4 linked regions of the Astyanax mexicanus genome follow. The protein of the gene in region 3 purifies or fractionates together with the protein of the main gene of each other region. This does not show direct contact. Links are inferred from orthologs where the notes say so. Each region holds a gene or a part of one and is shown on either strand. Other genes may lie near its edges. The genes, in order: ago1, ago3b, dicer1 and prkra.

Region 1 (6,914 bases), on a different chromosome or scaffold from region 3:
GACTGTGATGTTATTACCAATACCAATGACATCTGAGGTAAATTAAACTCAGTATTAATCCATCTGAATAGGGCTTTCATTAGCTGTTGTGCGTTGTTGTGCATTATGACATATAATTACATAACCAAGAGTATGACTTCTATTAGCTTTTTTTTCCATTTTAAATAAAAAACAACTGCAACACACAACACACACCAAAACATGTACCAATATTGCTTCTTTAGAAATAAAAAAAAATACTGAATTACCAATACCACTAAGTACAATTACTTTTTACACCAATTTTACCCAATGACAAAACAAATATAACAGAAAACAGTACCTGTATGATAGGTCACTGATAATTATGTGATCAAATTTTGGTTAATAACAATGTTATTCCTGGCCCTGCCTACCTGCATTTAGCAAAGCATGTTTTCTTTAATAAAGTACAACAGTTACTAGTTTGTATTATTTCAACTGTGGCTTTTTGGCTTTTCCAACTGAAACTAAACTCATGGGTATCATGTAAATGCCTTGCTACATTAGATTTCTTGGAGTGAATCAAAGCACACTGACAGAGAAGGGTCCGCACCCCATCCAATTACATCATGAAATTTACACTCTGACAGAGGTCAACTCTGAGCCCAAAGACAATTGTCATCAAAACCCCACAACCCCAACACAGCTGGTTATCAGTGTAGAGTTACCTCTGTCCCAATGATGCCCTCAAGCTGGCAATACAGACATCTCCACTAAGTTAGCAGACAAATATTCCAAGAAAGTCCAAGAAAGGCAATTTAAGAACAAGAAATATTAGACAGACCTGTCTACCAAAAGATCATCAGGATATTTGGTCAGACTCTGGTGTAGTGGGGCACTACTCTACTGTGCAGTGATATTTGCACAAATATGACTGTTATTGAACTATGTGAATCAGGAAACACTCCAATAATGACATAAACATGATTAAGGGCCTAAGAAACTTCTTTCTTGAGACCTCTATATTAATAGAATTAATATGACCCTTATTGAACTATGTGAATCAGAACACACAGTAATGATAACAACAACCACAACAGTAGGATTGAAGGACCAAGAAATGTCTTTAAGACCTCTAGCTTTAAAAGAATTAAACAAAAGGCATTTTAAGATCAAGAAAACTATTAGACAGACTTGTCTACCTAAAGATTTTCAAAATAACTGATCAGGCTTTAGTGTAGTGGTGCACTATTCTACTGTGCAGGGATATTTGCTCAAATATAACCATTATTGAACCATGTGAAGCAGAACACATGCAACAATAATAACAACATGATTAAAGACCCAAGAAACTTCTTTCGTGAGACTTATAGCTATAAAAGAATTAAACGAAAGGCATTTAAGACCACGAAAACTATTAGTCTTGTCTACCAAAAGATCTTCAGGGTAACTGATCAGACTCTGTTTTAGTGGTGCACTATTCTACTGTGCAGTGATATTAGCTTAAATATAACCGTTATTGAACCATGTGAAGCAGAACACATGCAATAACAATAACATGATTAAAGACCCAACAAACTTCTTTCGTGAGACTTCTAGCTATAAAAGAATTAAACGAAAGACAAATTAAGGCCAAGAAAACTATTAGACAGACTTCTGTACCAAAAGATCTTAAGGATATTTAATCAGACCAAAAAAAACTTTCAGACAAACTTGTCTAACAAGAAATCTTGAGGGTAATTAATCGGACTCTGGTGTTGTGGTGTGCCCTACTCTACTGTGTAGGGATATTTGCACAAATATGGCTGTTATTAAATCATGGGAAGCAGAACACACTCCAATAAAAACAACAACAAGCTTAAGAAACTTTCTTGAGCCCTTTAGCTATAAAGGAATCAAACAAACAGCATTTTAAGATCAAGTAAACTATTAGACAGACTTGTCTACCAAAAGATTTTCAAAATAACTGATCAGGCTTTGGTGTAGTGGTGCCCTACTCTACTTGATATTACATTGATATTGATATTTGCACAAATATGACTGTTATTGAACTTTGTGAAGTAGAACACACTCCAAAAAATTACGATTAAAAGCCCAAAACACTTATTTTATGAGACTTCTAGCTATAAAAGAATTAAAGGAAAGACAATCTAAGACCAAGAAAACTATTAGACAGACTTGTCTACCAAAAGATCTTCAGAATATTTTATTCTTGCGACTCTGTTGTAGTGGTGTGCACTATTCTACTCTGCAGTTGAACTATGTGAAGCAGAACACACTCTAATAAAAACATCATGATTGATGATGAAACTTCTTTTTTGAGACCTCTAACTATAAAAGAATTAATCAATCCATCAACAAGCTTACATAGTTAGGCACTAGTAAAACTGGGACTAGAACAGACTAAGAAAGGCTGACATTATTTATGAGTCAAGCAGCAAGAACCACACATCTGGGCTTGGGGGCTGATCAGAAAGGGCAAAGCCATAAATTTACCATAATCAATAATCATTGTGGGATGTTGGATGGGGGGTGGGGTTGGACCATCTGCATGTGGACAAGGCCTCTTCACTAAAGATTCCCACGACCCTACTGCCTCCTGACCCCTGCAACACATTCCCTTCCACCTACCATTCCCATCCCCAGATTTTTCAACCAATTTTTCAATGCTTGATCAAGCATGAGCCAAATGCAATTTTGCACAATATTCATATTTATTGAGAATAATGAAGGAAAGCACAAATTTTGGGGGGTTGCTCCACCTTGGATGGACCACCCATGCTTCTTAGATGGAGCTATAAGCTTCTACCAAGAAAACATACTTAAACAAACCCAATAATTATGAGAATTGATCAAAAATGAACATTTCCACCAAAAGCCAAGCCAAACCAGGCATCCACTCACCAGCGCCAGATGCTCCCGGCTCCATCCCATCCACTTAGGCGCGCCGTCTCAACGCAAGCCCCGGGGCTCCACCACCACCACCACGGCCGGCCCTCGCCTCTACAGCCTGCTTTCCCCGCCGTGGAAAGCGCCTCTTTCCTGGCTAAAAAAATAAAGAAAACCAACCCACCCCCCTGCCCCTTTTGCCCCCCCCTTGCCCCTACCCTCTACCCTAGCTGGAAGCCCACCCCCAGTCCCCCCGAGTCCTCCCCCCAGCTCCTGGACCCCGCAGAGCCGGGGAGACAATAGCAGCTCTGGCCGTGCTCCTCCGCTCCGCTCCGGTCTTTCCAGCGGGGCTGGCTGCGGCGCCAAGCCGGGGCTCCGCGCTCCAAGTCCCGCTTGGCCGGATTCCTCTCCCCGCTTTGGTTGTGGGTCTCCCTCCTCTTTTCTTTCCCTCCTTTCCCTTCGTTTCTCTCTCTCTCCCTCCCTCTCTCTCTCGGCGTGTCTGGGTCCTGCTCACCGTTCAAGCAGGATTCTCCAGAGTAGGAGCAGACCCCCCAAAAAAAACAAACAAAAAAAAAAATCCCACCACGGACAGCCGAGGAGAGAGGGCCGCCTTCTTCGCCTCCTCCTCCCGCTCACAGCGCCTCCTGTGCGGGGCAGCTGCTTTGTGCGGCCGCCCTCTAGCGAGCGGTGGTTGGGGACCGTTGGGGGGAAAGGTTCACACACTGCTTCACACTGCAATGAGCGTTGAACTCGTTAACCTCGAAAAATCTATTTATATATCCAAGATTTACTAGTATTCTTGATATACATGAATTATACTAAATGAGCTATTTACACAGGAGTGCAAAAGTTTGGGTTGAAAACAAAACTGCTTAAAGCATCACATTCTTTACTCAGATTAGGGTATTAGGGTGCCATTTGCTTGTTGTAACTCAAATTAAGCTTATTTGTAATATTTTTTTCAACTCTAATAACACATGTATTTAACTATTTAAAACATGTACTGGTAAAACTTTTTTTTTTCAGATTTACTTAATTGTTTACAAGGTTTCTAAGCTAAAGGTGATTACAAAACTTATGTGACATTTAAAAAGCATGTTTAAAAGCAAGTCCACTAATTCCTTTGATTCTCTCTCAAGAAAGATTATATATTAAAGAAATGGTTGACTGCATGTTCAAATAGATATTTTTTATGACAAAAAAATCAATCCTATTAATGGCACTGATTCCTATTACTTTTTTATGTTTTGAGTTATCATAGAATTAGCAAAAACAAGAAAAATAGCTAAATGGCGGCTATGCAAATAGCATAAGGACACTGAGCACATTTTAGTGATCTTCCCAAAATTTGTATTTTAAAAATAAACAAATAAGATTTAAGAATTATTTTAGATAACGGGACAGAGTGTTGAGATTGAGCTCCTTAGTCAAACAGAAATGACATACATTCGGTGGAATGGCCCATTAAATATTTTTGGTTTAAAAAATACTTCTGTAGACGTATTCTGACCCTAAACACTGCTCAAAATCTACTAAAACATTCATGCAGAGGATCAAGTACAATGTTCTGGAGTGATTATCTCAGTCCCCAGACATGAATACTATTAAAAATCTGTGCTGTGATTTAAAGCGAGCTGTTTATGATCAGAAACCATCAAACTTGACTGAACTGGAAATTATTTGTAAAGAAGAATGATCCAAAATACCTTCAGCCAGAAGCCAGACTCTTATTGGAAGATATAGGAAGTGTTTAGAGGCTGTTACTTCTGCAAAAGGAGGATTGTCTAAATATTGATGTATTTTTTCTGTTCAGGCCCAAATTTATGCACCTGCCTAATTTTGTTCAAAGATTTATTTCACACTTTCTGTAAATCCTATAAACTTAATTTCTCACCAGCCTGATCAGCATCACCAAGCTATTCCACCAGCCTGATCAGCTTCACCAAGCTATTCCACCAGCCTGATCAGCATCACCAAGCTATTCCACCAGCCTGACCAGCTATTCCACCAGCCTGATCAGCATCACCAAGCTATTCCACCAGCCTGATTAGCATCACCAAGCTATTCCACCAGCCTCATCAGCATCACCAAGCTATTCCACCAGCCTGATCCGCATCACCAAGCTATTCCACCAGCCTGATCAGCATCACCAGCTATTCCACCAGCCTGACCAGCTATTTCACCAGCCTGATCAGCATCACCAAGCTATTCCACCAGCCTGATCAGCATCACCAAGCTATTCCACCAGCCTGATCAGCATCATCAAGCTATTCCACCAGCCTGATCCGCATCACCAAGCTATTCCACCAGCCTGATCAGCATCACCAAGCTATTCCACCAGCCTGACCAGCTATTCCACCAGCCTGATCAGCATCACCAAGCTATTCCACCAGTCTGATCAGCATCACCAAGCTATTCCACCAGCCTGATCAGCATCACCAAGCTATTCCACCAGCCTGATCAGCATCATCAAGCTATTCCACCAGCCTGATCCGCATCACCAAGCTATTCCACCAGCCTGATCAGCATCACCAAGCTATTCCACCAGCCTGACCAGCTATTCCACCAGCCTGATCAGCATCACCAAGCTATTCCACCAGTCTGATCAGCATCACCAAGCTATTCCACCAGCCTGATCAGCATCACCAAGCTATTCCACCAGCCTCATCAGCATCACCAAGCTATTCCACCAGCCTGATTAGCATCACCAAGCTATTCCACCAGCCTCATCAGCATCACCAAGCTATTCCACCAGCCTCATCAGCATCACCAAGCTATTCCACCAGTCTGATCAGCATCACCAAGCTATTCCACCAGCCTGATTAGCATCACCAAGCTATTCCACCAGCCTCATCAGCATCACCAAGCTATTTCACCACAATGATCAGCATCACAAAGCTATTCCAACAGCCTGATCAGCTTCACCAAGCTATTCCACCAGCCTCATCAGCATCACCAAGCTATTTCACCAAAATGATCAGCATCACAAAGCTATTCCAACAGCCTGATCAGCTTCACCAAGCTATTCCACCAGTCTGATCAGCATCATCAAGCTGTTCCACCAGCCTGATCAGCACCACCAAGCTATTCCACCAGTCTAATCAGCATCATCAAGCTATTCCACCAGCCTGATCAGCATCACCAAGCTATTCCACCAGTCTGATCAGCATCTCCAAGCTATTCCACCTGCCTGATCAGAATCACCAAGCTATTCCACCAGCCTGATCAGCATCATCAAGCTATTCCATCAGCCTGATCAGCATCACCAAGCTATTCCACCAGCCTGATCAGCATCACCAAGCTATTCGAATTTTCAATTTTAGGGCACATAGCACAAAAAGTAAGAACATTTCTGTTTGGTAGATTATTTCAATTTGTAACAATGCTTCCTGACCATAATACCAATGAAAAAGTCTGTTAATTTCTCTTTTGAATTATGTCACCTTTAAAAGGAACATATATTCGACTGATGAGCAGCATAGCTGAGAATATGGGTTGTGCCCATGAAAAAATTGCCAAATCTTCTCTGTCATTGCCAAATAACTTATTATGCTGTTGCAATTAACACTTGTTTTTAGCTTCTGGTTCCTTCCAATTGGAAGCACCTGTGGGCATGGGCCATATGGGTTACAGTGGTCAGTAGGTGTCTGGCCTAAGAATTGGCATAATGCCACAGTTGACAGATCTTTATTAGCTACCTAGCTAAAACATTCCACACAATAAAGTAGTTAATGTTACCTAACCTAGCTGACTGTAAAAAAATAACTCAGCAAGGCAGATTATTGTAAGTCTTTGAAGTTGTCTGTTAGTTTAAACTATAGCTTGCTAGCTACAATTATCTCCTGTTTGCTACAGGTTTGCTTTTTAACTAGCTTGCATTAGCTAAGAAATCTAGCAATCTAGCTATCTACCTGATGGGTTTCTTAAACTGCAGTTAAGTTACCACTTGCCAAGATGTGACTATAGACACTATACACAAAAATAAGCAAAGAAGCATGTCTATGAGGCAGCTTCCCAGACAGTTCATATTCATAACCCCCCCTTCCATGATGAAAGTATGGAGG
Region 2 (7,925 bases), on a different chromosome or scaffold from region 3:
CTGACAAGTTTGATAAACAGAGTTTAAAGAGTTAGCAAATCAGCTCATTCACATTAATGGGCTCTCCTTGCTAAAAAATGCATAATAAACAAAATTAGGGACAGAAAAATTACCATCCAGGTCATATTCATCCATATATTGTACAATACATTTATGACATTATGACGGTCATACAATGAGGTGGCCATATGGGTTGTGGTTTAACTGAGCTAAAATCAACCGTGTTTAATATTATCATAAGTGAACAATGTCAATGTCAACAACCAATAGGAGGGCTACGGAAAGCCACAAGGCAAGCGTAGGGAGGTTTGCGGAACATGAAATGGATGAGACTCCAGTGATGGCTCGGAAACCACAGTTCTCCTAGAGTATACAAAAGTAGGAGAAACTGGTGGAGCTGTGTAGTGAGCAAGAGTGTCTCTTTAACACATTTCCTACTTATAATAATAATATTAATAAAAATAGTAGTAAAACATAATAAAATAAACTCTGAAAGAATCTAGTTGCAGTCTTGCAAATAGTGACCCTTCAAGATCCCCAGTCTTTGCCATCTGTGACTAAAAAGTCTGTAACTTGTCTTTAGACGTGAGAGGGTGTCAGACTTTAGTCTATTAAAAGTGTTTTCAGAGTGTTTTTGAAGTCGTCTAGTGTATGGTTAGCATTACAAGCAGTGATGAAAAGATATAGATCACATTAAAGAAATTAAGAGTTAATTTGCACAAACAAATAGATAGATGCTATCCTTTAAACATAGCTTTATCCATTTTTGCAAATGAACTCTTCAAATATTAAGACAAGAAATTAGCAAAACCATACATCTGATTTTAACAGCAGGGAACTGACTGATCTTCTGGCACTGCTGACCTGTAAACCACGTGCAGACTAGACACTTACAGAAACCTAGAACCACACACTACTAATCTGATCATCTGTGAGCAACTGGTCACAGGTAATTCTTTACTGGTATATCAGTTTGGGTCTGATTTCTAATGTTTTCCAGTTAAACCAGTTGTGGGAAAGCAGTCACCAGTGACACAGCAACCAGTAACTCAGTCACCATGACAACGGGAGGCCTCCCCCACTCTCCCCTCTGTGACCACACACACTCTCGCGAGTTTGTATTACTATCTTTGTGGGGAAGGCTTATTGTAATGCTGCTGTATTGTTTTACTACATATGTCCCCACGACGTTAGAATTCCCGTGTGGGGCAGTTATTGGGCAATTGGCATTCAGAAAGTGATAAATACACAAAATCTCTCTCTCTTTCTTTTAATTTCTCTCTCTCTCACTTTTACACACACAGATACATAGGTTTGTATTACTATCGTTTTTGGGGAAGGCTTACTGTAATGCTGTGTTGTACTGCATTACTACAGGTGTCCCCCACGACTTTAGGATTCCTGTGCGTTCCTGTTAGTTATGGGGCGTCTGGTCCTCACAAAGTAATAAATACACACAATATCTCTCTCACTCACACACAAGCAGCTCACGCAGCAGCACCTGATCTCCACGCCACCTGTGCGTGACAGGCGAGTCGCAGCGCCGTGACGTGGAAACCGCGAGTGGGTAAAAACCCTCAAACCGCCTCCAATCGACCACCAGACAGCCGAGCCTGCATAAACCTCCAGAATAACGACTTCTAATCTACAACTAAACAACTTAAACAGCTGCTAAACGGCTTAAAACAACTGTTAGCTGGGTTAGTTAAGTTAGCGTTACTTAAGTTACAGGGAGCCGGGGGGTGTACTGTCGAGTTGTGCTACCCGTCGATTTGTGCTACTAAGCGGTTCTGTGCATGCGCTAAACTCTCGATTTAACTGTTTTCCTGTGTTTTTCCTGATATTTAAAAAAATCTCAGGTGCAGTGTACAATCTGGACTTACTGTCATCGTTAGCTCGAGTGTTACAACCGTGTAAAAATGTATGATAAAAATATAGATAAAAATGATTAAAAAAAAATGTATAAAACTGTTTCTGATCACTTATATTGCCTTAACTTTACCTTAATACACCGAGTAGGCTATTCAAATATCATACCGACACGTTTACTGCGAGCATGTTCTAATATTTCGTATTTTACCTTTAAATATACACTAGGGTAGCATAGTTTGACAAGGTTGCTAAAATCGACACAACACTGAGGGGTCGAGACACAGTGCATACGGACCCCTGAACGAGCCCCACAGTCCCCTCAGAAGACCCTCCTGTAACTATCTGACCTGACTAGTTAGTTAACCAGTTATTTCACCTGCTGGTTAACCCCACCCAGCCGGGTCCCCAGCTGGGGTCACGCTCCGGGAGAAGCTCGTAAACCTACCTGTAGTACCGATTTCCATTCATGAGGTCTCTGCCCGGATTCCAGTCAGCCGGCTTTCCAGAGCTGGTGCCCGGCTTACGGGTGGTGGTAGTAGTGGTGCTGTAGGGTCTCCGCGGAGCCGCTGTGGGGCCGCTGGAGCTGCTGGAGCTCGGCTAACGGCTACCTCTCTGTCCTCCTCGCCCCGGCCGCGGTCGCCGGTCTCCGCTGCGGCTGATGAGACCGTCCCGTCCCTGAGGGTCAGCTCGGCCTTAGCTTCATTCGGTTCTCGGTGTTTATCGTTAGTTAGGTTAAAGACAGCCTCCCCGCCGTGTCCTTCGCCTCCTTCAGTAGCTCCCTCCGTTCACCGGGACTCAGTAGCGTTAATTACTCCCAGCTGACAACCGAACCAACTCCTCGTAAAAACTCCCGAGAGCGAGAAACAGCTTTTCCCTTCTTCTCAACTCGAACCAGAGCAGCAGCTTCTGTCTGACACTCGATAAAACTCACTAAAACCTCCAACCTCCACTCAGCCACAGTTTATTACAGTCTAAAACCAGTTAAAATTCGTCCTTCTATAATAAAACACTCAGCACCGCAGCAGAGGTTCAGCTCCGGGCTGTTTTTCTCGCTGGTTCACCGGTTCGTCTCTCCGACTCTCTCCGCTCCTGTAACCGGTTCACCATCTCTCTCTCCACCGCCGGGCTGAGGGAGGGGGACCACAGGAAATACCAACGGCAGGAAGCGCCGTCACATCCTGCAACCATGTCATTCATTTCTGATCCACGTCTGAGACTTAATTCATTAAAGAACATAAATAATAATATAATTAAGTTTCTGAAATTCTGTTTTAGTCACAACAGAAAAACATTGAAGCTCAATTCGCTGCAATTTTATTTTATAACCACCTCCACTACCCAGCTTTCCTATAATAACGATTTTTTTCTTCAAATTTATTCATTTTTTCATTATAGATTAAAACATATTCTTCTTATTATTATTAATATTATTATTGTCTTAACCCTCAAAAGGCATGAAATATATTTTTGGAGAGAAAATAAAGTTTTGTTGTTTTTTTTGGTTGATAATTGATAACAAGCTCATTAGAAGAAAACACGTTTTAGTAAGCTTACAACAAGATTGTAAGAATAAAATAAGAATATAAACAACCAAATATACTTCTTTACGTATTATTGCGCGTATATAGATTTTTATTTATGACCCACTTGTACGCCTCATTGTTTTGGATATAGATATGCCTTGCAACATTATATTATAATACAAATAAAAAAAATATAATAATAAAAATAATATAAAATAAGGTATGGTATGGAATAGTGCAATAACCAAAATATGGTTTGATTCCTGTGGGAAACATTATGCCATATTGTTTTTTTATGTTAATTTAATGGTTAGTTTTGGCTTTATTTTAGTTTTCTTGTCTAATGTTAAAATGTTTTCTTTTCTTATTTAAAAATATATATATATTATTTATTTTGATTATTATTATTAAATTAAATGATTATTTTGCTATCTAACCTTAGTTATGCTTATTTTTTCAATGTTTTACCTTGCTTATTTTATTCCATGTTGTGTTTGTATGCGGTGGTTTCATATTATATTTAAATTTTTCTATTGTAAATGCTCAGCTGCATTGAAAATGTACCTCAGTGTACCTCAGAGTGAAAATACATGTATGTGATTGATTAATTGATTAATTAAATATAGAAGAAAGGAAAACACTCCAGGTAAAATCTGTAAAAGTCTCAAAAGTCTGGTGGCTGTTTTAGCACAGTGGTCTGAAGATGGCAGCATTGCGCTCTGGATTTAACTGAGCTCACCACAGAAGAAACTGAAGAAGCGCACCTTCAACATGTGTGTGTATGAAACGTTCAGCTGCGTTTAGAGTTTAGAGTTTAAATGCTCCTGGTTCTGTTTAAGCAGAACAGCGGTATACACCCTCATTATTTAGAGATAAAAAGTTAAATCGTTTATTTTGTTTGTGTTCCAGGGTTGAAACTGATATGAACTGAAGTAAAGACTGAAGAAGCGCACCTTCAACATGTGTGTGTATGAAACGTTCAGCTGCGTTTAGAGTTTAGAGTTTAAATGCTCCTGGTTCTGTTTAAGCAGAACAGCGGTATACACCCTCATTATTTAGAGATAAAAAGTTAAATCGTTTATTTTGTTTGTGTTCCAGGGTTGAAACTGATATGAACTGAAGTAAAGACTGGGTGGTGTTGAAGGCACCTCAGGGATCTGTTCCAGGGAACGTTACAGTGATTGGACGGGCTACAGTGTAATGTACTACAGTGTAATGTCTTTAAATGGCAGGTGAATAGTTTGCTCTTTATTCTGAAGTGTCAGTAGACATATTTATCAGTGGTATATTTAAACAAACAGTTATGAAACAGTGGAGCTTATAAACCTAGACTGTTATCTAGGTTATTTATTGCTATTTTGTACTTGGACTTGGAGTCTCATGTAAATAACCTTACTCAGCTGTAGACTGGTTCCTAGTTCAGAAGGATGGTATTGTTATTTTTTAATCACCAGTAGCTCTAACTCTGTTTAATTGTAGCTGGGATGGATAAAGTCATTAGCTGCTTCAGCAGGAGGCCGGACGCTGTGGTCAGACTGATCTGCTTCCCCTGGGCAGGTGGAGGCTCCATCCACTACGCACGCTGGGGGAGACTCCTCAACTCCTCTGTTGAAGGTACTTCTCCGCTACACTGACCTTTACTGTGTATTATTGTGCTGTATTTATATATATATATTGGCAACAAAATCAAAGTGAGATCATGTGGATTTATTTCTACAATGCTTAAATGATTTGAAGGACCATTAAGTATTATATTTTCAACATTAAATGATAAAATGATCAGGATGTTTTATCAGATATTAGATGCTTTTATAGCATTTTCTGGTGTTTGAAGGCCCCTCATCCACTGTTCCCAGCATTTCAATCTGTGAACTGTGAAATTTGTTTTACATTTCATAAGTAAGAAAAATAAGAAAAATGATCACAGTTCCTGCTTCTGTTTTATAGCTATAAAACAAAAAAAAATGTTTCTTTGGCACTGGTTTGTACACCACCATTCTTATTACTTAAGAAGAACATTATAAGTAAACATTGATTTTTTTTGTTACTTTACATATTTTTAAGATTGATGATAGAAAAACAACATTTAAACCATCTTTATTTAAATCACTCTCACATAAAGAGCCTCACCAGCTCTATTCCAGTTCTATGCCAGATTCAGCCCCTTTCAGAATGATCTGCTTAAGGGCTCTGTCACTTATGCAAATAGGCTGTTGTTTATATAAGATCTTAGAGTATTTAAAGATTTGTCTTTTTCTTATGCACTTTTCCACATTCTCAAAACTTTTTCTGAGATGGTGCTGTAAGCGTTTAATGTATGCAAATTAAATGGATATTAAAGTATGTTGATACATTATGTGTCTGCGCTCTGACAGTTGGTGCTTTTTGCTGCTTGTGTTATTGCTCCTCTTTTTGTTCTTTGTGATATGCAGTGTATTCAGTCAGACTGCCCGGCAGGGAGAGCCGAGCTAAAGAACCATTCTTCCAGCACATGCAGCAGATCCTCGATGAGGTCATCAGTGTGCTTTTGCCAGAACTCAAGGAGAAACCATTTGCTCTCTTTGGACACAGGTTGGTGCTAAAAAAGTTATATCTCACATCTACTTCACAAATGAATGTAAAGTTTTTTGTTCTCTGGGATCAAAAACAACATTTTGGTGCTAGCAAAAATGGAAACCAAATTTCCTATAGGAAATATTTTTCTTTCATAATTTGTTTGGGAAACTTTGTGTTGTTTGCATTATTTGGCAAAATGCAACAACACTGTTTATAATGTTTTCAACAGATTTCATCAATGATTTAAAAAAAGTTTTTTAAAAACGCATTAAATTTCATGTATTTTACTTCAGGCACTTTGTGGTTTCTCATCTCATTGTGGTTCCTTTTCCCCAGTTTTGGTGCTATGACCAGCTATGCCTTTGCCGAGTATGTGAAAAAAGTTCACAATCTTGAACCAGTCCATGTGTTTCTCTCTGGAGCTTCTGCGCCTTATGTAAGTACAGTTTGTTCACTGCAGTAGTGATTTCAAAGAGAACAGTGGCATAATATAAGTTATTGTAAAGTGGTATGACTTATCTGCTGGTAAATCATTACATGTTTTTTAATTAAAACATGTAAATGTGTAAAGAAACATTTACAATAACTTTTTAGCTAAAACAATTAATCCTCTCTGTCAGTCTGAAACCAGATTACAAGCCCCACGGAGAAGCCAACTGTCTGATGAAGAATTCCTTCAGTGGATGACCTCGATTGGAGGAACTCCTCCTGAAATATTGGCCAATCCTGAAGTGCTGAAGCTGTTCCTGCCAGCTTTGAAGGCGGACCTCGGTGTAGTGGAGAATTACAGGTTGGTGGAATGCAATTAACTGCATATGAGTTTTTATATAATTAATATATTTCTTGTAACACAATTTCACTAACACATTTTTAGTATTGTATTTTTTGCACTATAAGGTGCACCAGATTATAAGGCACACTATCAATAAATATCTATTTTCATACACAAGATGCACCAGATTATAAGGAGCATTTTAAGCAGCATTTCTTAGAAACAGGGGTGTCTCCACATTTCCCTTCTAATTCAGCAGGTCTTGCCGCTGGGTGGGGAGACCGGTAAAGCTATGATATGTAAAGTAAAAGAAACTGTAATTCTTAAAAAAAAAAACATTTTCATACGAGTCAGACAAGTCAAACGAGTGCTGGATGTAAATCTACACAGATTTCTCTCCTAAAAACTGTTAATTTGGGAGTTAATTTAAGAGATTTACAGATTTCCACTAATGCTGGAACTAACTAATGCTGCCTAACTGCTGCACGACAGAGCTACACTGAGGAACCTTGAGTGTTCCAGTAAGCCAGGGCCATATCAGTTAGCAGTAAAAATATCTAGCATGTTTAGCAGGTAATGCTAATGCTGCTCAAGCAGTGTTGGCCGAGGTTAGCAGCAGACTACAAGCTAATAAGATACAAGATAATACTCACCTCTGAGCAGCCAAATGGCTAGCGCTTAGCGGGTAATGCTAATACTGCTGGAGAACTAAACTAAAACGCCTGTATAACTCTTTACTTCAGCACAGTAGTTTTGCTGCTCCTTACAACCTGACTGGTAAAATTCATACACCAGATAATAAGGAGCACAGACGATTTTTGGGAAAATTAAAGTATTTTAGGTGCACTGTATAGTCTGAAAAATACAGCAATTTTCAATTACAATCCAGTGCCACCAGTGTTGTAAGGACATTTCCAGTGGCATTCAAAGTGACATTGTGATTTCCACAGATTACACTGAGAACTGAAAGTTATATGTGTAAATGTTTACGTGTGTGTTTGTGTGTTGCAGGTGTAGCAGGCCAACAAGACCTTTTCTTTCATGTCCCGTCTCGTGCTTTGATGGCAAGGAAGACATGCCACACGACTTACAAGGTTAGAATCCCGTAGGACTGTCCTGAACAGTACTGGTGTTCCAGCATTACTCCATCGTCCATGAGAACGAATGTTAAAATATTGTGTGTGTTTATATTCACTTCACAA
Region 3 (8,011 bases):
ATAATCATTGACTAATTGAAAAAATAATCAGATTAGTCAACTATCAAAATAATTATTAGTTGCAGCCCTACTGCCATTTTTCTCCGAGAGCCCGTATCGTTAAGTAAAGTTGGAACATGATTTTTAGGGCACTATAAATTCCCATAATGCATCATCATCGAATTTATAATAAACATGGCTGCTTACTACACTTTTTGAATGTGTCCCAGAATGCATTGAGAGTTTTGCTACTAAACTGCATACAGTCAAAAAAAAGCAGACAATTTTTTTTATCTGCATGTGTGTATTATATATGTGTTTAGCGTATCATAAGACACAAAAAACAAGAAAAGCAATTACAGTACATATAAATAAGCTCGCAAGCAATGAAAGAAGCAAATACTCATACAGAATAACCAACACAAACAATACTTACTCAAATTTCCATCAGCAGGAATAAAGCTCTGTCTCTGCAATTTTTAGATATCTAACTACAACAAACAACGATGGACTTTTAATACTTGGTCATTTTGTCCACCCCTCAAAGCACAACTCCACATTTTTCATAAAATCACCCAATCTGGCAACACTATAAGCCGGTGTACGCTGTTAATTTCAAGAGTTTCTCCATGTAGTTCATTATTAATGTGTGGATTATGTTTCTAAACAGCGTGAATATAACAGTTAGAGAGATTATTGACTCCATGATCAGCTCCGAGCTTCACTAACCTTAATTCCGAGCTCAGTTCAGTGTGTTTATGGAGTTTTGAAACACAGTTCAGCCGGTCAGGTGTTTAAGGGAGCAGAGCGGGCGCATGTTAATGATGAGGGCGTGTCCGAATTCACTAAGTAGTGGTGAAACAGAAGTGAATTCAGACACGCCCTCAGAGCGTGTATAAAACGTTCTGCTCGCATAAATAAACATCTGACTGACTGAAACGGTGTTCTGTCAAATTATGCTACCCATTATGCTACCCATCGATACATAAAGGTAGTGCGCATGCGCCGACCTACACCTTTTTTGTGTTTTTTTTTTTCATAATAGAAATGTATTTTGTGCATTAAACAAGCTGGACTCACTGTCATTGCACAAAAGTGGAAATATTAATTAATTAAAATAAATACAATAGTTATTATTTACAAAAAAAAAATAAAATAAAGCAGTCTGTAATGACCTCTCATTGCCATAACTTTACCATGACACAGTGATTTATGCTATCCAAAAATACTAGCTACATTTACTGGGCTTTCTACAGGGAACATGCTATAATATGGTGCTACTTATGTATTTTAAACATTTAAATATACACTAGGGTAGCACGGTTTGACAAGATAGCACAACTCGACAAAACACCGTGTTTAAAACTTCATAAACACACTGAACTGAGCTCTGAATTAAAATTAGTGAAGCTCTTCCTCTCTGACTGTTATACTTAAGTTACGCTGTTTACAAACATAATCCTCACATTAATTAACTACATCTGAAATAAACAGCGTACATCAGCTTGCAGTGTTGCCAGATTGGCTGTTTTATACTAAATGTTGAGTTGTGTCTAAAATTGACTGTATAAAGTGTTAAGAGTTTGAAAATATAACTCTTCAGCGTTGTGGTTAGTTAGCTAAACTTGCAGAGACGGATTTTTCAGTCCTGCTGATGGAAGTTTAAATAAAAAGTGTTTGTGTTGGTTATTATGTAACTCTACGTATTTACTCATTTCATTGCTTTGGGTCGTTCGTCCTACTATACAATGCACAAAACACATATATAATATAAACATGCAGATAAAACCATTTAAATAACGTTTTTTTTTTAATTGGTGATATTATAAAATATTTAAGGTGTTTTATTTAAGATCACGTTGGAATAAACCCTGTAATATTGTAGATATGCTGAACATTAGCTGTAAGGTTGTTTTACTCAGTATTATGGAGGATTCTAAGTAGGGGTGGGCAATATTATATCGTATACAATATATCGTGACAAAGAAATATCATGATACTAAAAATCCATATCGTGATAATAGGGCTGTTCTGTCTTAAAAGTAGTCTATTATTTACTGTGAAGCTTTAGGTGTATTTATTGTATAATTGTTTTAGTTCGCAGTTTATATTCATGCACTAAATATTCTGCAGTATTATTTGCTGCATTGTATTATTTTATGCTATATTATTTATTTTGCCACATTATGATTATACTGTTATTCTCTTATACTATATTCCTGAAATTAATGAATTATTTTAGTTTTCCTATATCGCCAAGTATATCGTTATCGCAAAAATACCCTGAAATACCGTGATATTATTTTAGAGCCATATTGCCCACCCCTAATTCTAAACATTTTAAACAGTGACTTATCTGATTCCTACTGTATCAATCTGGCAACCCTGGTGGCTCGCTGTCTGCTTCGTTTGATCGATTGTCTGTTGATTAGTAGTGAGTCTCGCAATGCATTCTGGGACACATTTAGCTCACACTGAAAACGGCGATATTTACTATAAATCAGGATGCATTATGGGAGTTTATAGTGCCTCAAAATCACATGCAACTTCTCCCTTACGATTTGGACACTCGGAGAAAAATGGCTGATATACTTTATAGTGCCCTAAATAGTAAATAGGGAGCCAGTTCGGTCATAGTGGTAACTAGCGTTTTGGCGCCAAAACGTTAGTAACCCAGAAATGAGTAATTATTAGGCAAAATATGCTTCAATACCTGCTAAAAACACACAAAAATGTGTCTAGAACTGATATAAAACCTCCTTTTGCCAAGAACGTGTCTCAAAAATACATATATTATTTTAAAACAGCACATTTTCGGAGTTTTTCTGCTCTGCTTACCTCCTGCGCTGCGTACAAGCTCCTAATGAGGTACGGAAGCAGGGTTGCCAGGTCTAACAAAAATATCCAGTCCAAACACAGTCTAAAACACACCCTTCTGAACCTTAAACTAGACCAAAATCTAAGTTTGTCACACGTTTGAAGCAAATGGCAAAACATCTGAGTGAATTACTTGATTTTATAAGGGATTTATGAACAGTATTGTTATTTATCTTTAAGTCATTGTTAGTATTGTAACATTAGTGTTTTATTATTTTATTTATAACAGTTTTAATTTTCAGTCAAGAACATTTAATAGTAACATAATAACATTATTTTATTTACTCTTTTCTGTTCTTGCCCCTCTTGAACTCTCTTCTTTCTTCTTTAACGTTTTTTTGTAGCTTAAACAAGCTCAATTTGGAGGGAAACAGCAAACCTGGCAACCCTGGAGGCACGGAGCGATAATTAATAAAAGAAAATGTAGTTTTCTTGTTGGTGCAGGGAATTGTAGTCCAAAATAAAAACAGACAAAAAAAATAAATTTTTGCTGTTACAGCACATCAATCAAACTCCAACAGCAGTATGAAACATTACAACCGGCCCTTTTGTTCACTAAGAATTCATTTTATTATATATAAATATTTTTCTATTATTTTGTAGTCTTTTTAATTCCTTTACACCAGTAACAGGAGTGAGTTTTGGTAACAGGAACGAGTGCCATTAACAGGAGGATTTTTTATTTGTCATAAATATTAATTATCTGAACATGCAGTCAACCATTTCTTTAAAATAAATGCTTTCTTGAGAGAAAATAAAAGGAATAAGTGGACTTGCTTTAAACACATTCTTTTTAAATGATACATGAGTGTTTTGTAACCATCTTCAGCTTTGTTTTATAATCTTCAACTGTACAAAAATAAGTAAAGCTGTCTGAGTTTGACCAGTACATGTTTTAAACAACCAAATACATGTGTTATTAGATTCAATTTCGAAAAAGATTTTAAAAATAAATGTAATTTGAAAGAGTTACAAAAAGCAAATTGCACTCATGGCCCATATGTCACAGGGTTTATGTGCTTCGAGGGAAAAGTGCAGGCTGTAGACATTTATTTCAGCCACCTGATGTCACTCTTCTCTGAGGCTTTTTATTAGTTTTTTTGTTCTGCTGTAATGTGTGACTTTCCTGTATGTAACAAAAAAGGTATATTTATATTTTACTAAAATACTTTAAAACGTTTTTTTATAGTTTTATATCTTCTCAATTTGGTTTGTGGCACTTAGTATAAATAATGTATTAATAATTCTAATAATTTTACATTAATAGTTATTTTTTAATGAATAGAAAACAGAGATCTTTTTTTTTAATAAGTAAATGTACAAATCAAGAAAGGTAGCAGAAGTGTACAGTAATGTGAGAGCAAAAATAATTATTCTAGGAAGGTTTCCAGTGTACACTACAAGTACATTTTCAGCTAATGGAAAAAAAAAAACAGCAACAAAAACAAAACAGAATAAGGCAACACTTAAGAGAAAGAGAAATACTAACAAGGAGGCAATAATTGTCTTTTGGACATGAAGGAAGTCAAGTTTCACACAATTAAAAAAGCAAAGACTTTGATATCATATAATTTCTATTCAATTTCTATTCAATCTCTTGAAATATTCTAGTGACTTGAAAAAAAGAAAAGAGAAGAGAAGATAAGATAATCATTTCTTAGTCCCGCAGTGGGGAATTTCACAGTAGTACAGCAACAAATGGATAGCAAGGCATAACAAATAAAATAAAGGGTACAATATATACAATATAAATTATAAAAAAGTAAAGAACTCTTAAAACTGTATTTACAAATAATTACGCATTGCCTCTTAGTTGTACAGGGGCAATGGATTATTTTACATTATATTACACTGAAAAAAAAAACATATATATAAAAAAGGCAAAATCATGTATAAACAATGTGAATGATGGAGTTATGGCTTTTCACTTATATGAGTATATATAATATTTACCCAAAATGATAACAAGAATAACTAAATCTAAAATGTCTCTATTTATATATTTTGCCCATATGATACATTGCGATTTTTTTTATAAGTAAATTTATGTATGTCAGTAATATAATTTTATCTGACAACCAATGTGCTGAAGGGACTTTTACATTGTAGAATAAAAGTCCCGCGGGGTGAATTTGCAGCTAAAACCGTATGCGGTCGCTTTTTCTCCGTTTCTCCGGCAGCGGGAGGGAGAGACACTCACGGACTAAACACCGATAAAACCGCGATCTCCAGCCGCGCAAAGCCGGTAAACACACCGATCTTTACTCTCCACACCTGGGACACATTTTATAAACTGTCCGCGGGGCGGATTTGGGGTTAGAATCTGCGATTTTGGGCAAAATGTGTAATAGAAATGTCGGATCGCGGTGCGTTAGCTTGGCTGGCTAAGCTAATAGCGGCTAAGCTAATCAGCAGCCAGGCCAACACGCTTAGCTCATAGCTTAGCTTATGTTTCAGCTCATAAATAAGGTTAATTTAGATTAAACCGGACAGGAGTTGGGTGTGAAATCTTGGTTATTTGTATACTGTGGAAATTAACTGTATTTATGGCTTTATTGTATATAATTTAATTAATAATGTAGTTAGCTTTTTAGCTAGTTAGCTAACCTAGGTTAGTTTTTGCAGCGCGCATATGGATACAGATCACTGTAGCTAAGCTAACGTTAGCTGACCAGACTTATACCTTATTTTTTACATGCTCTTTATTATTTTAAACAGTTTTTGAAGTTTAAACAGCAAATACTATATTTTACTTACCTGCAAACCATGATCTGATCACCTTATCCCGGATTTATGTGAATATAATTACCCTTCTCAGCATCATGATGGCACACAGATGATCAGAACAGAATCTATGCAGCTCAGATTTGTAAATTTACAGCTTTATAGCTTAATATATTAATGTAATAGTAAGGTGTGAGCGCTACAGAATGCAGTACTCATGGTGAAATGCTGTTTTAGGGTTTGTAAATGGATTTATTGCTGTGTGAACTGAACGCAGCCACAAGGCCAAGGTCGCCTCGAGGCCTGGAGTCTGGCACACACACATTATTTACAGTATTGACACTTTGATAACAGTATTTACTGTGTTTAAGCTGTTGTTTCACTGTTAAATCAGTTTAATCTGCTGTATTCACAAGATTCACAAGATCTGAGTGACTTTAGTGTAAGATAGTGTAAAGTCTCACACTGGGTGATTATCTTTAATCTGTCATTAAAGAGGCACTAAACCCTAAATCATTTTTTAAAATCATAAATAGCTTTTATTAAAGTGTTCTTCCGAAGTAAAAAAAAAAACATACCAGTCCTGTTTAATTTTTTGTAAACCTTTCCTAACATTTATAGGTCTTGTTCCATCATTTTTTTGAGGTCTCTAGTATGAATATATTCCATGTGAGCTGGTTTTTGTTTATAAAAAAATAGCTCTGGTAATCTGGTATAAGGCTGCTTTAGTCAGGTGGAGCAGTGGGTGGGTAGAAACAAACAGGATTTGTCTCTTGCTCATGAATACATACATGCAAACATATCGCCTCTGATTGGTTAACAGCACTGCAACGTCAGGAAGCGGAGAGATGGAGAACAGTTAAAACGTTTTAAAATAAAGACATTTTCACACTAATAACAGTCTTTGCAATGTCATATGTTATTTTACAACAAGTGTAATACTAGTACAAGAGTATTTTTTAACTGCTAAGTGCAGTTCAGCCGCTGATATAGTCTTAGAGTCTTTGTAAAATGCCAAATCCACCGGAGATCCCATGTAAACCTATAGTTACACACAGAGGTGGGTAATCCAGGTCCAGGTTTTCATTTTTAACTAGTGTAAACAGAACATACACCTACTTGTACTTCACTGGTGGTGTTATATAGACAAATTCTAACCATTTGTTCCTTAGACCTGAATTACTGGGCAAAACATATAACACTGATGTGATATTTGCACAAATAACACAGGAACGAACCTTTTCAGCTATGTTGTTTCTAGCGCTGTTAGCTTCTAATCAATCAATCAATCAATCAATCTATCAATTAATAATACCACCTCTGGTGACTTCCAACCATCAGCATCTTACTGCTATCAGAGGCACAGCTCAGCCAATCAGCTCTTCCTTCTTCCTGCCCTTAAACCCATACATCACCCAAATTTGAGCTGAGGGTGAAGTCAGCAAAAATCAGGTGGTTTAGTGCTGCTTTAAGCAAGATGTATGGATGGATGGATACCGAACAGTGTAATACAAAACTATAAGGGTGGTGTAGTATAAAAAAGTGGGTACAGATACAGCACAACTATTGACAAAGAACTGCCAAAAGAATAGGACCCCCTGGCGCAAATAAACAGAATGTAGAGACGTAAACATGATTTTCTGGCCCCTAATTGCAGGGTTGAACTATGAAGCTCCTCAACTGTTGAACTGTGTTCTCTGGAATAATTTATGCTCCATCCAGCACAATGTATTTTGTCTCAACAGGGTTATTCTAATAACACATTTACATTAGAAGTGCCACTGGTCTCTAACTTACCTCTTACTCAGTAGTACTGTTCTAACCATAACTTTATCTCAGCAGTGCTACTCAAGTCACAGCCAGACTTTTTGTAAACAAACAAATTCTTGGGCTACTTTAGCTTAGCTGATGTTACTATCCTAGCACTGTACAGCAATTTGACGTCATATGTTATTTAGCCTTTTTTAAACTTATTTGCTTGCCAGAGATTTAGTACCTCCATTCTAGGGCTGGGATTGGAATTCTATACTGACATGTCTCTCTCTCTCTCTCTCTCTCTCTCTCTCTCTCTCTCTTTTTCTTTCTCTCTCTCTTTTTCTCTCTTTCTCTCTCTCTCTCTCTCTCTCTCTCTCTTTTTCTCTCACTCTCTCTCTTTCTCTCTCTCTCTCTCTCTCTCTCTCTCTCTCTCTCTCTCCCCCTCCCTCTCTGCTCACTATATCCTGAGACATTATAATACAGTAGTGAAAAGTATCTATTCTGCCAGACCTATATTAATATTATTTAATCTAATGCTGATATTTCTTTAAAAGAAACTCTTCAAACTATAATGCATCCAGCAATAATATAATAATAATAATAATAATAATAATAATTTGTAAAATATTTAAAGTTTAAGCAGTTAAAATAATGCTGTTATAAAGTGCCACAAATA
Region 4 (7,736 bases), on a different chromosome or scaffold from region 3:
CACCTGCTAGGACACATTCTAAGTCACTCCATGACAGTCTGTCTGGACAATCAACTAAGTTTCATTCCTCTTGGTTTCCTTCCACTTCTGGGTGCAACTATTTTTTGATGAGTGTAAAGCTTGGGTCAAATGGCTCTCAGACCACTTCCTAAAATAGTTAGATTCTTTAGATTTGTATGTTTTAAATGGGTCTTTAAATTCCTTTTTATGTGTCTTGGTTTATCAAGATATAATGCTGATATTTATGATGTATGAATGGACCAGGTGTAACTGGGGTTTTAGAGTGTAATATACTGTGGAACATTTGCTTATTGTGTGTTCTGTGTGTTGTGACCTTGAGGTGACAATGTGGAGGGACAGATTGCTAACCTGAGCATCAATGACACTTCCAACCAAGGTAATCATGCTCTCGTAACCTTTTGCTTCCTATGGATCAATGTCTGCTACTGGTATAACTATGGTTTAAATATGATTTGTTTTAAGCTCAATCTCACCATGGTCGGTCAACAGAAGAAGTGAGCATGAGCTCTTTTGACCCCTACCAACAAAGCACTTCGGTAACATGCTCCTCTTTTTCTAATAATTGTAGAAGGGGTTTATTGGTGTCTGTTCTGTGACAGCTGCTTTGATATTTTGTGTTGTAGGAAGTGGAGAAGTATACCATGACAGGAAATTGGAGAGGATTTTGCATGATCGTCAACAACTACGACTTCTCAAATAGTCCCATTAAATTAAACTACAGAGGGGGTACAGATACAGATGAGAGTGAGCACAGCTAAGACATTTGAATTAAAATCACATGTACTGATTCATGGTATAATTCTGTGTTTGCTGTGGGATAAATGTATTGTCTTTCTGTCTGCCTTTCTTTCTGTCTGTGTACAGAGAGATTATTGAAGGTGTTTAAATGGCTGGGATTTACGACAGAGGTGGTGCGGGACTGCAGTCGTGAGCGTATGTTAAAGGCCCTACAAGATCTGAAAAGTCGTGACCACGGAGAGGCTGACTGTGTGGTGTGCTGTGTGCTGTCTCACGGTTATGAAGGTGGTGTTTATGGGGTGGATGGTGGGAAGGTGAAACTAAAGGAACTGATGGAGCCCCTGGATGGCTATCACTGCCCCACTCTCATTGACAAACCCAAGATCTTCTTTATTCAGGCCTGCAGGGGCATAGAAAGACAGAGGGTGGTGTTCCTGCAGTCAGACAGTGAGAGCAACAGCATGGAGCCTGAACTCTTCTCTGATGCTATAGTGCCCAGAGAGTCTGTACCTGCAGGGGCAGACTTCCTGATGTCCATGGCCACAGTGCCAAACTTTGTCTCATACAGGGAGACAGTAAATGGAACCTGGTTTATACAGACACTGTGTAAGAGCCTTGAACAGCTGGTGCCAAGGTGAGATTCATGTTTCCTTTGCTTTCATAGATTATGCTTACATTATTATACTGAAGTGACTCAGATATTTTGCCTCAATGCGACACAGATCAGATTTTTTGTCTAATTCAATATTTTAAATCGGATTTGAGTCACTTTCATATGGTTAGAGCTGTCATCATACACCAGAACCAGTGTTGTGCCAAATTGTGACTCCCTTTCAAAATCCAATTCCTCTTTGTCTGCCCATGCATCTTGCAGCAGTGGCAAAAAAATAAATAAAAAAATAGTGAGACCCGTAAATGTATCTATATGCCATTTTAGAGACCTGCGTATTTAATAACATTACAGACAAATACAGATCAATTTATTATTTATCACTTTACCATCAAGATAGTAAATGTAAAAAAAAAATATTCAAGTATTTCACCAGGTAAATAACAACTGTCAGATTCAGTGTAAACTCGGAAAACGATTCAGGATATTGGTAGGAAACTATGACTTCATGTATGCCAAATTCCTAACCTCTTACAAATATTATCCTTCCTGCTTCTCCAAAGTTACATAGTGCAGTATGCAGCATCCCTATTATTGGACCGTCACAATGATTTAAAGCTGTTAACTGTTATTTTCCCTTGTATTTTGCTGTGTGTGTAGGGGTACTGATCTGATGTCCATCCTGACGCAAGTAAACAATGAAGTCAGCAAGAAGACCAGCAGATCTGGCTTAGAAAAGCAGATGCCACAGCCAGAATTCACTCTGAGAAAGTTAATCATCTTCCCTGTTCCTTCAGACATCTCTACATCTTCCTTAATATAATTTAACTGGAACTGTCATGCCCTTTGTGTAATTTATGTGAAGACAACATTCAGGTTTTGCAAACTGGACTCATTTGCACATTTTTGATGGCATCCTGCCATATTTACTTGTAAAACTTCACTCTACACAGCTCACATATATTCTTCATGTCCATGCCAGCTGCCTTGTAGAAAGTACAAGTGACAGCTTGTAAAAAACCAATTATTAAACCCTCAAACTTGTCATCAATAAATGGTGTTCTATCCACTGAGCCAACCACTGTCCCCATCCCTGTGAACCAAATGTGCTGCTCAACCTGTCAACTAACAGTGGAGGAGGCAAAGAGGGGTGGCAGGACTGGAGTATCCAGATGCACAGACAGTGCAAACTTGTACACTTGCAGAGTGAGTTTAAGAACCCTCACACGCTTTGTATTGCTAAAAGTGTACTGAGGCTTTCACAATGATTCTATACATTCCAAAAACACATGATTTTCTTCTAAGACAAAAAAACAAACATAATATATTTGTTGTTACGCAGAAACCTTTCATCTCTAAGAGAAGAGAAATAAAAAAAAAAGACTTTCAGTGTCAATTTAATGTAAAAAAATAATTTCAAGAAATGTTGGATATATTCATCATGAAATATTGACACAATGTAAAAAACAATTGCTAGATTCAGTATTTCAGTACTTATTTTTGATGTTGTTTGCCTGAAATATTTGTATGCATACTGTGTTTATCACATTTGTATTTTCCAACTTGCAAATGTAAATATTAAATTAATGTAATACTGACCAAACAACAGAAATTTAACACAGTTTAGATTTTGTTGCTCTGAATCGTGTTTGTAGGAACCTGAATCCTGAACGTTTTTAATCTCAAATGATCAACTATTGGTCTCATTAAAATATACAATATTACTTCTGAATGTTTTTGTAATGAATAAATGAGTATAAAAAATACTCAATACTTGATGTTTGATGTACTAGAGTTTTACTTGATGTTACAGGTATGTGTTTGAATGACTTAAATGCCCTATTTTTTTAAATATTGTGCCACAATTATCATCTTTAATTACATTTAGATAATTTATATCTATAGCAAACATTTCTATCCAGACTGTAATTAAGTGCTGTCATGATTGACCCTGGTGTTGCACCTCCACAAGCAGCTGGGCTCACCTGTTTCCTATAGTTTAATAAGTTTCAATATTTAAGGACTTACCTTGTTTGTATGTGTACGACATTTCGAAGCATTTGTTAATTCTTCCTGTTTGTTGTGTTTGTCTTCTTGTTTCTGGTATTTATGACTATCTTTCTGTATTTTTGACTTTTGGATTTGCCCCAGTCTGTACCGTTTGCCTGTGTTCTACTGTTTTTAGATTATTAAAATCTGCAGTTGAATCCCTTATCCCGCTTTGTGTGACAAGTGCTAGTCTTTTACTCAAAACATCTAAAGCTATTATTGACAGACCCCAGCATTACAAAATTGCTAGAATCTGAATGTAGAAATTACCACAGTTTGCTAAAACCCACGAAAAATAAAACGATATATTAAATGCAATTTAAAAACTACGATGAGACACCATCTCAAAATATGGACTTCTCAAAAATCACATCTGAAAACAATGATAAACTCTCAAAATAATGACTTAGAATCTCAAAATAATCAGATAGCATTTCAAAATAATGATTAACTTCCAAAAAACGATTTAGTATCTCAAAATAATAAGAACATTTCTAAATAATTACTTAGAATCTCAAAATTATAAGGTATTAATACAAGATAATTACGTAGGGTCATTATCAATCAGATAGTACTGTGACGACCGCTAAGGAGACACAACGGATGGAACCATTCTCGCAAAACAAACGTCTTACCGCTCGTTTCTTGCTTTTACACATGTAAGGCAAGTACAACCCGAAACACCCTTGTTCAGAGCTCCTGGCCAGGTGGCCAAACTGGCTACCCTGTTACTCCAGGGTAGCACGTCATTTGCATGGCCCCTCCTACAACAGCCGAAGGGGCCCCCACGTGACACACACACAAAACACAGTATCCCCCGTGCTCGCCACAGTATCTTAAAATATGGATTTAGTATCTCTAAATAATAAGATTGCAATTTAAAATAACGATGACCCCTCAAAATATTGACTATATCTATCTCAAATTAATTAGATAGAATCTCCAAATATTTATTTAATTTCTCAAAATAACAAGACAGTATCTTAAAATGTATGGACTTTCTAAATAGTAAAATCTTGATCTTAAAATAACAAGTTTACTTAACAATGAGGGAGGAAATGTGCTGAATTATATTTTATCTTAAGTGGAGTGTTCTTCTGAAATATGCACATTTGCTCATTATGCTGCTGCCCAAATCAGTCACCAGTATAAACTGGCCAGAATATTATTTTTTTAAATATTCATATCCATGATCCATGTTCACAGTCTACAACAGCGACTGGCTCACTGCAGATACAGGCGGGGTGATAGTATAACCCTGGAAGCCTATTGGTCAAAATGCGTGCCAGTTTAAATCCTGGCTGTCCGATTGGATACACACTCAAACACGACTCCAGCCTCAAACACAGAGATAGATCCCCGTAATTTTCGGATGCCGCAAGAAGTATGGCGAGCACATCTCCTTCAGTAATGACTGAATCCCAGTAAGTTCAGCTTCAAGTTAGTAGTTATATAGCTGTGTGTTTGCTCTGTGTTTGGATATAGTCTAATATAATCAGTGAAACGGCTTTAGACCTGTGTTTAGCTCGAGAACTGGCACAGCTTCCACTGTCTCTGCAACTTCAGCAGAAGCCGTTTAACTGCTGAAACTTACACCGGTATCTAACCAACCTATCTTAGCTTAGCTAGCCTAGCTAACGGCCTTAATACACGAAGAACGACGAATTAATGTGAACATAAACCCAAGAAATGCTAAAGTAAATTTAGCAAAACGCTACTAAGCTTTGTAGTTAGCAGAGGCTGATGGTTAGCGTTAAATGGGTAGCTTTAGGTCCTGTTAGCTAACGCTCGCTAGCTGATGTTGTGTTGAGATCCGCAGATTCCAGTTTTATGAATGTTGCTGCTGCCGCTTTAGCTATGGTAGCTATTTTACGGTAAACTATCTGACAGCTGTCCGTATATATAACATAGGTTGGCTAAGCTGCTAAGCTAACCTAGCTAGTTTTTGCCGGGTGTTTTATCGAATTATGCTACCCATCGATACGTGCTTCCTAAGGGCACTGCGCGTGTGCTGACCTAACTTGCGCGTTTTGATTTTTTCTCTTGTTTTTTCTTAATATTTATTTTTTTGTGCGTTACACAACCTGGACTCATTGTCATTGCACAAATAATAATATTTATAATAATGATAAATACAATCAATATTGTTGTTCTATTTTTGTTATTAAAAAATACAAAAGCAGATTTGTAAATGTATTGCCATACATTTACCACGATATAGTGATTTATGCTATCCAAATATACTCGCTAGTTACATCTACTGAGACCTTGCTCTAATACGGTGCTTCTTTTGTATTGTTACAGTTAAATATACACTAGGGTAGCATGGTTTGGCAAAGTAGCATAACAAGACAGAACACCTTTTTGCCGGTGTGATGTGACGTTAGCACTATGATTAAGCTAAGCTAACAGTATTTTCTTATTTTCCCCTCTTCACTTATTATTCAGGCCGGCTTCGGCGGCTCAGCCCGTTGCTGCTGATAAAACCCCTATTCAGGTGCTTCACGAGTACGGCTCCAAAACAGGCAGGCTGCCCGTGTACGTTATGGAGAAAACGGATGGAGAGGCTCATCAGCCTTTCTTCGTCTTTAGCGTCACAGTAGGGGACATCACCTGTACAGGTAAGACCCTGCTAAAATAAGCAGCATGGCCTGGTACAGATGGTTTACCAACTTAGCTCTGGACCAGCATAGAGTATGTTTTAATTTGTGTTTGAACAAGAATGGATTCATGGTTGATCACCAAAGGTAAATGATCCTGTTCATGCTTGACAGCCTGTGTGACCAAGCTTGATAGGTATTATACAGCATCATGACCAGCAAACCATGAGCTATTCGTGCTGGTTTAGCCGGTTGACTTAAAGTAGAACTCCAGTGTGAAATGGACTTTGGGGGCATTAACACGTGATTAACAATGCTTATCTTTGTTAAATAGCCCTCTTCTGTTCTCCCACAGCTTTCTGAGATCCAGTATTTTGTTTGCTTTACCCAAACAGGCTTTTAGACTGGGTGATACCGGGCATAGTTTGCCCTTGGAGATAAAACGAGAATAAGAACTTCTTGTGCAGTTTTAAGGTTCTAAGTGCCTCGTTTTAAATGTCAGGGCTCTCCTGATTCTACCGATGAAGTGTGGAGCTACTTTGAGCCTGGATAACGGTATAAAAGGGGATTTATCTGCATGGGCAAACTATGCCCCGTATCACCCAGTAGGCAAAGTGCTCGAAATACTGGATTTAAGAAGGCTGCAGGAGAGCTGAAGAGGGCAATTCAACAAAGGTAAGTACTTTTTATTACGTTTTAAGACACCCAAAGTCTGTTTCACACCGGAGTTCTCCTTTAAGTGATTAGTAGGATCTCGCTGACAGACCAGCAAGCTGGTTGACAAGCGTTATCAGGCAGGTGAATCAGCAAGAATGAGCTGATCGCCCAGCATGAGCAGCAAGGACAAGCTGGTCGACCAACATGAACATCAAGTACGAGCTGGTCGATGAGCATGACCAAAATCAAGTGCAAAATACACTATGCTACTATGCAACTAACCAGCTATCTTGCAACTGTAGGGTATGTGTCTTTTCAAAACCTTGGTTATCAAAGCCCAGTCAAGACTATCCACAACCATGTTATAGCAAAAGCTGATCTTGAGTATGAAATACTGTTAAGGGGCTCATACCATTTTTTAATTTGACTGTTTGTGTTCCGAGCTATTTAAAGTATTTGTTTAATGGTTTCTAAAAGGACTCAGTATCATTGTAGATTTCTGTGCCATTACTGTTTGTTGCATATAGGTCAGGGGCCGAGTAAAAAGGCTGCCAAACACGAGGCAGCAGAAGCGGCTCTGAAAAGGCTAGACCTGGACACTGAAAATAAGTGAGTGCACACCAACAACTGACAGAAGTTAAGGCACATCTAGTAGCAATGGTTGGACAAACAACTTATTTACTTTCTTAAAATCTCTAATAAAACCCCCAAAAACAAACTTAAGCAGTTTTCAACAGTTCTTTAGACATATATAGTCTGTTTTTGATGTAAACAGTATATGTGTAAGTGACTTCATCTAACATATTTCCTCTTTTTCAAAGGCCCATTGCTCCAAATCCAGAGAATAATGGCTATAGTGCTGAAACAAATGACCAACACAATCCAATTGGCATATTGCAGGTATGTCACTCACTGTGCTTTATTAAACGCAGTATAAAGCATGGCATTGTATTTTCGAAAGGTAATTTTCTGTAGTAGTTGAAAAATTTGTTTATTTTCAAATGAAGACGGAACTTTAGTAAGGAAATTTTATGTCTTTCAAGATTTTTTTATGACAGAGA

What was found.
Region 1: the proteins of dicer1 (region 3) and ago1 purify together in Homo sapiens (co-immunoprecipitation; 7 studies listed by BioGRID and IntAct, with this or other methods). This does not show direct contact. The link is inferred for Astyanax mexicanus from reciprocal best matches to the Homo sapiens genes DICER1 and AGO1.
Region 2: the proteins of dicer1 (region 3) and ago3b purify together in Homo sapiens (affinity purification with mass spectrometry; 3 studies listed by BioGRID and IntAct, with this or other methods). This does not show direct contact. The link is inferred for Astyanax mexicanus from reciprocal best matches to the Homo sapiens genes DICER1 and AGO3.
Region 4: the proteins of dicer1 (region 3) and prkra purify together in Homo sapiens (co-immunoprecipitation; 4 studies listed by BioGRID and IntAct, with this or other methods). This does not show direct contact. The link is inferred for Astyanax mexicanus from reciprocal best matches to the Homo sapiens genes DICER1 and PRKRA.

Annotation. Positions count from the first base shown.
Region 1 is NC_064408.1:119,808,969-119,815,882, reverse strand, and holds the start of ago1 (protein argonaute-1), read right to left. Parts: upstream 3,017-6,914; 5' UTR 2,891-3,016; coding exon 2,866-2,890; intron 1-2,865.
Region 2 is NC_064410.1:30,427,878-30,435,802, reverse strand, and holds the start of ago3b (protein argonaute-3), read right to left. Parts: upstream 3,010-7,925; 5' UTR 2,337-3,009; coding exon 2,318-2,336; intron 1-2,317. Other genes in the region: olah (S-acyl fatty acid synthase thioesterase, medium chain), read left to right, coding at 4,621-4,627, 4,875-5,009, 5,828-5,966, 6,288-6,387, 6,572-6,741, 7,735-7,817.
Region 3 is NC_064421.1:4,264,421-4,272,431, forward strand, and holds the start of dicer1 (endoribonuclease Dicer), read left to right. Parts: upstream 1-5,001; 5' UTR 5,002-5,101; intron 5,102-8,011. UniProt on the Homo sapiens protein: Double-stranded RNA (dsRNA) endoribonuclease playing a central role in short dsRNA-mediated post-transcriptional gene silencing.
Region 4 is NC_064418.1:32,496,294-32,504,029, reverse strand, and holds the start of prkra (interferon-inducible double-stranded RNA-dependent protein kinase activator A homolog), read left to right. Parts: upstream 1-4,732; 5' UTR 4,733-4,804; coding exon 4,805-4,842; intron 4,843-5,866; coding exon 5,867-6,039; intron 6,040-7,202; coding exon 7,203-7,284; intron 7,285-7,496; coding exon 7,497-7,575; intron 7,576-7,736. Other genes in the region: casp10 (caspase-8), read left to right, coding at 341-397, 484-557, 645-765, 886-1,393, 2,030-2,192. UniProt on the Homo sapiens protein: Activates EIF2AK2/PKR in the absence of double-stranded RNA (dsRNA), leading to phosphorylation of EIF2S1/EFI2-alpha and inhibition of translation and induction of apoptosis.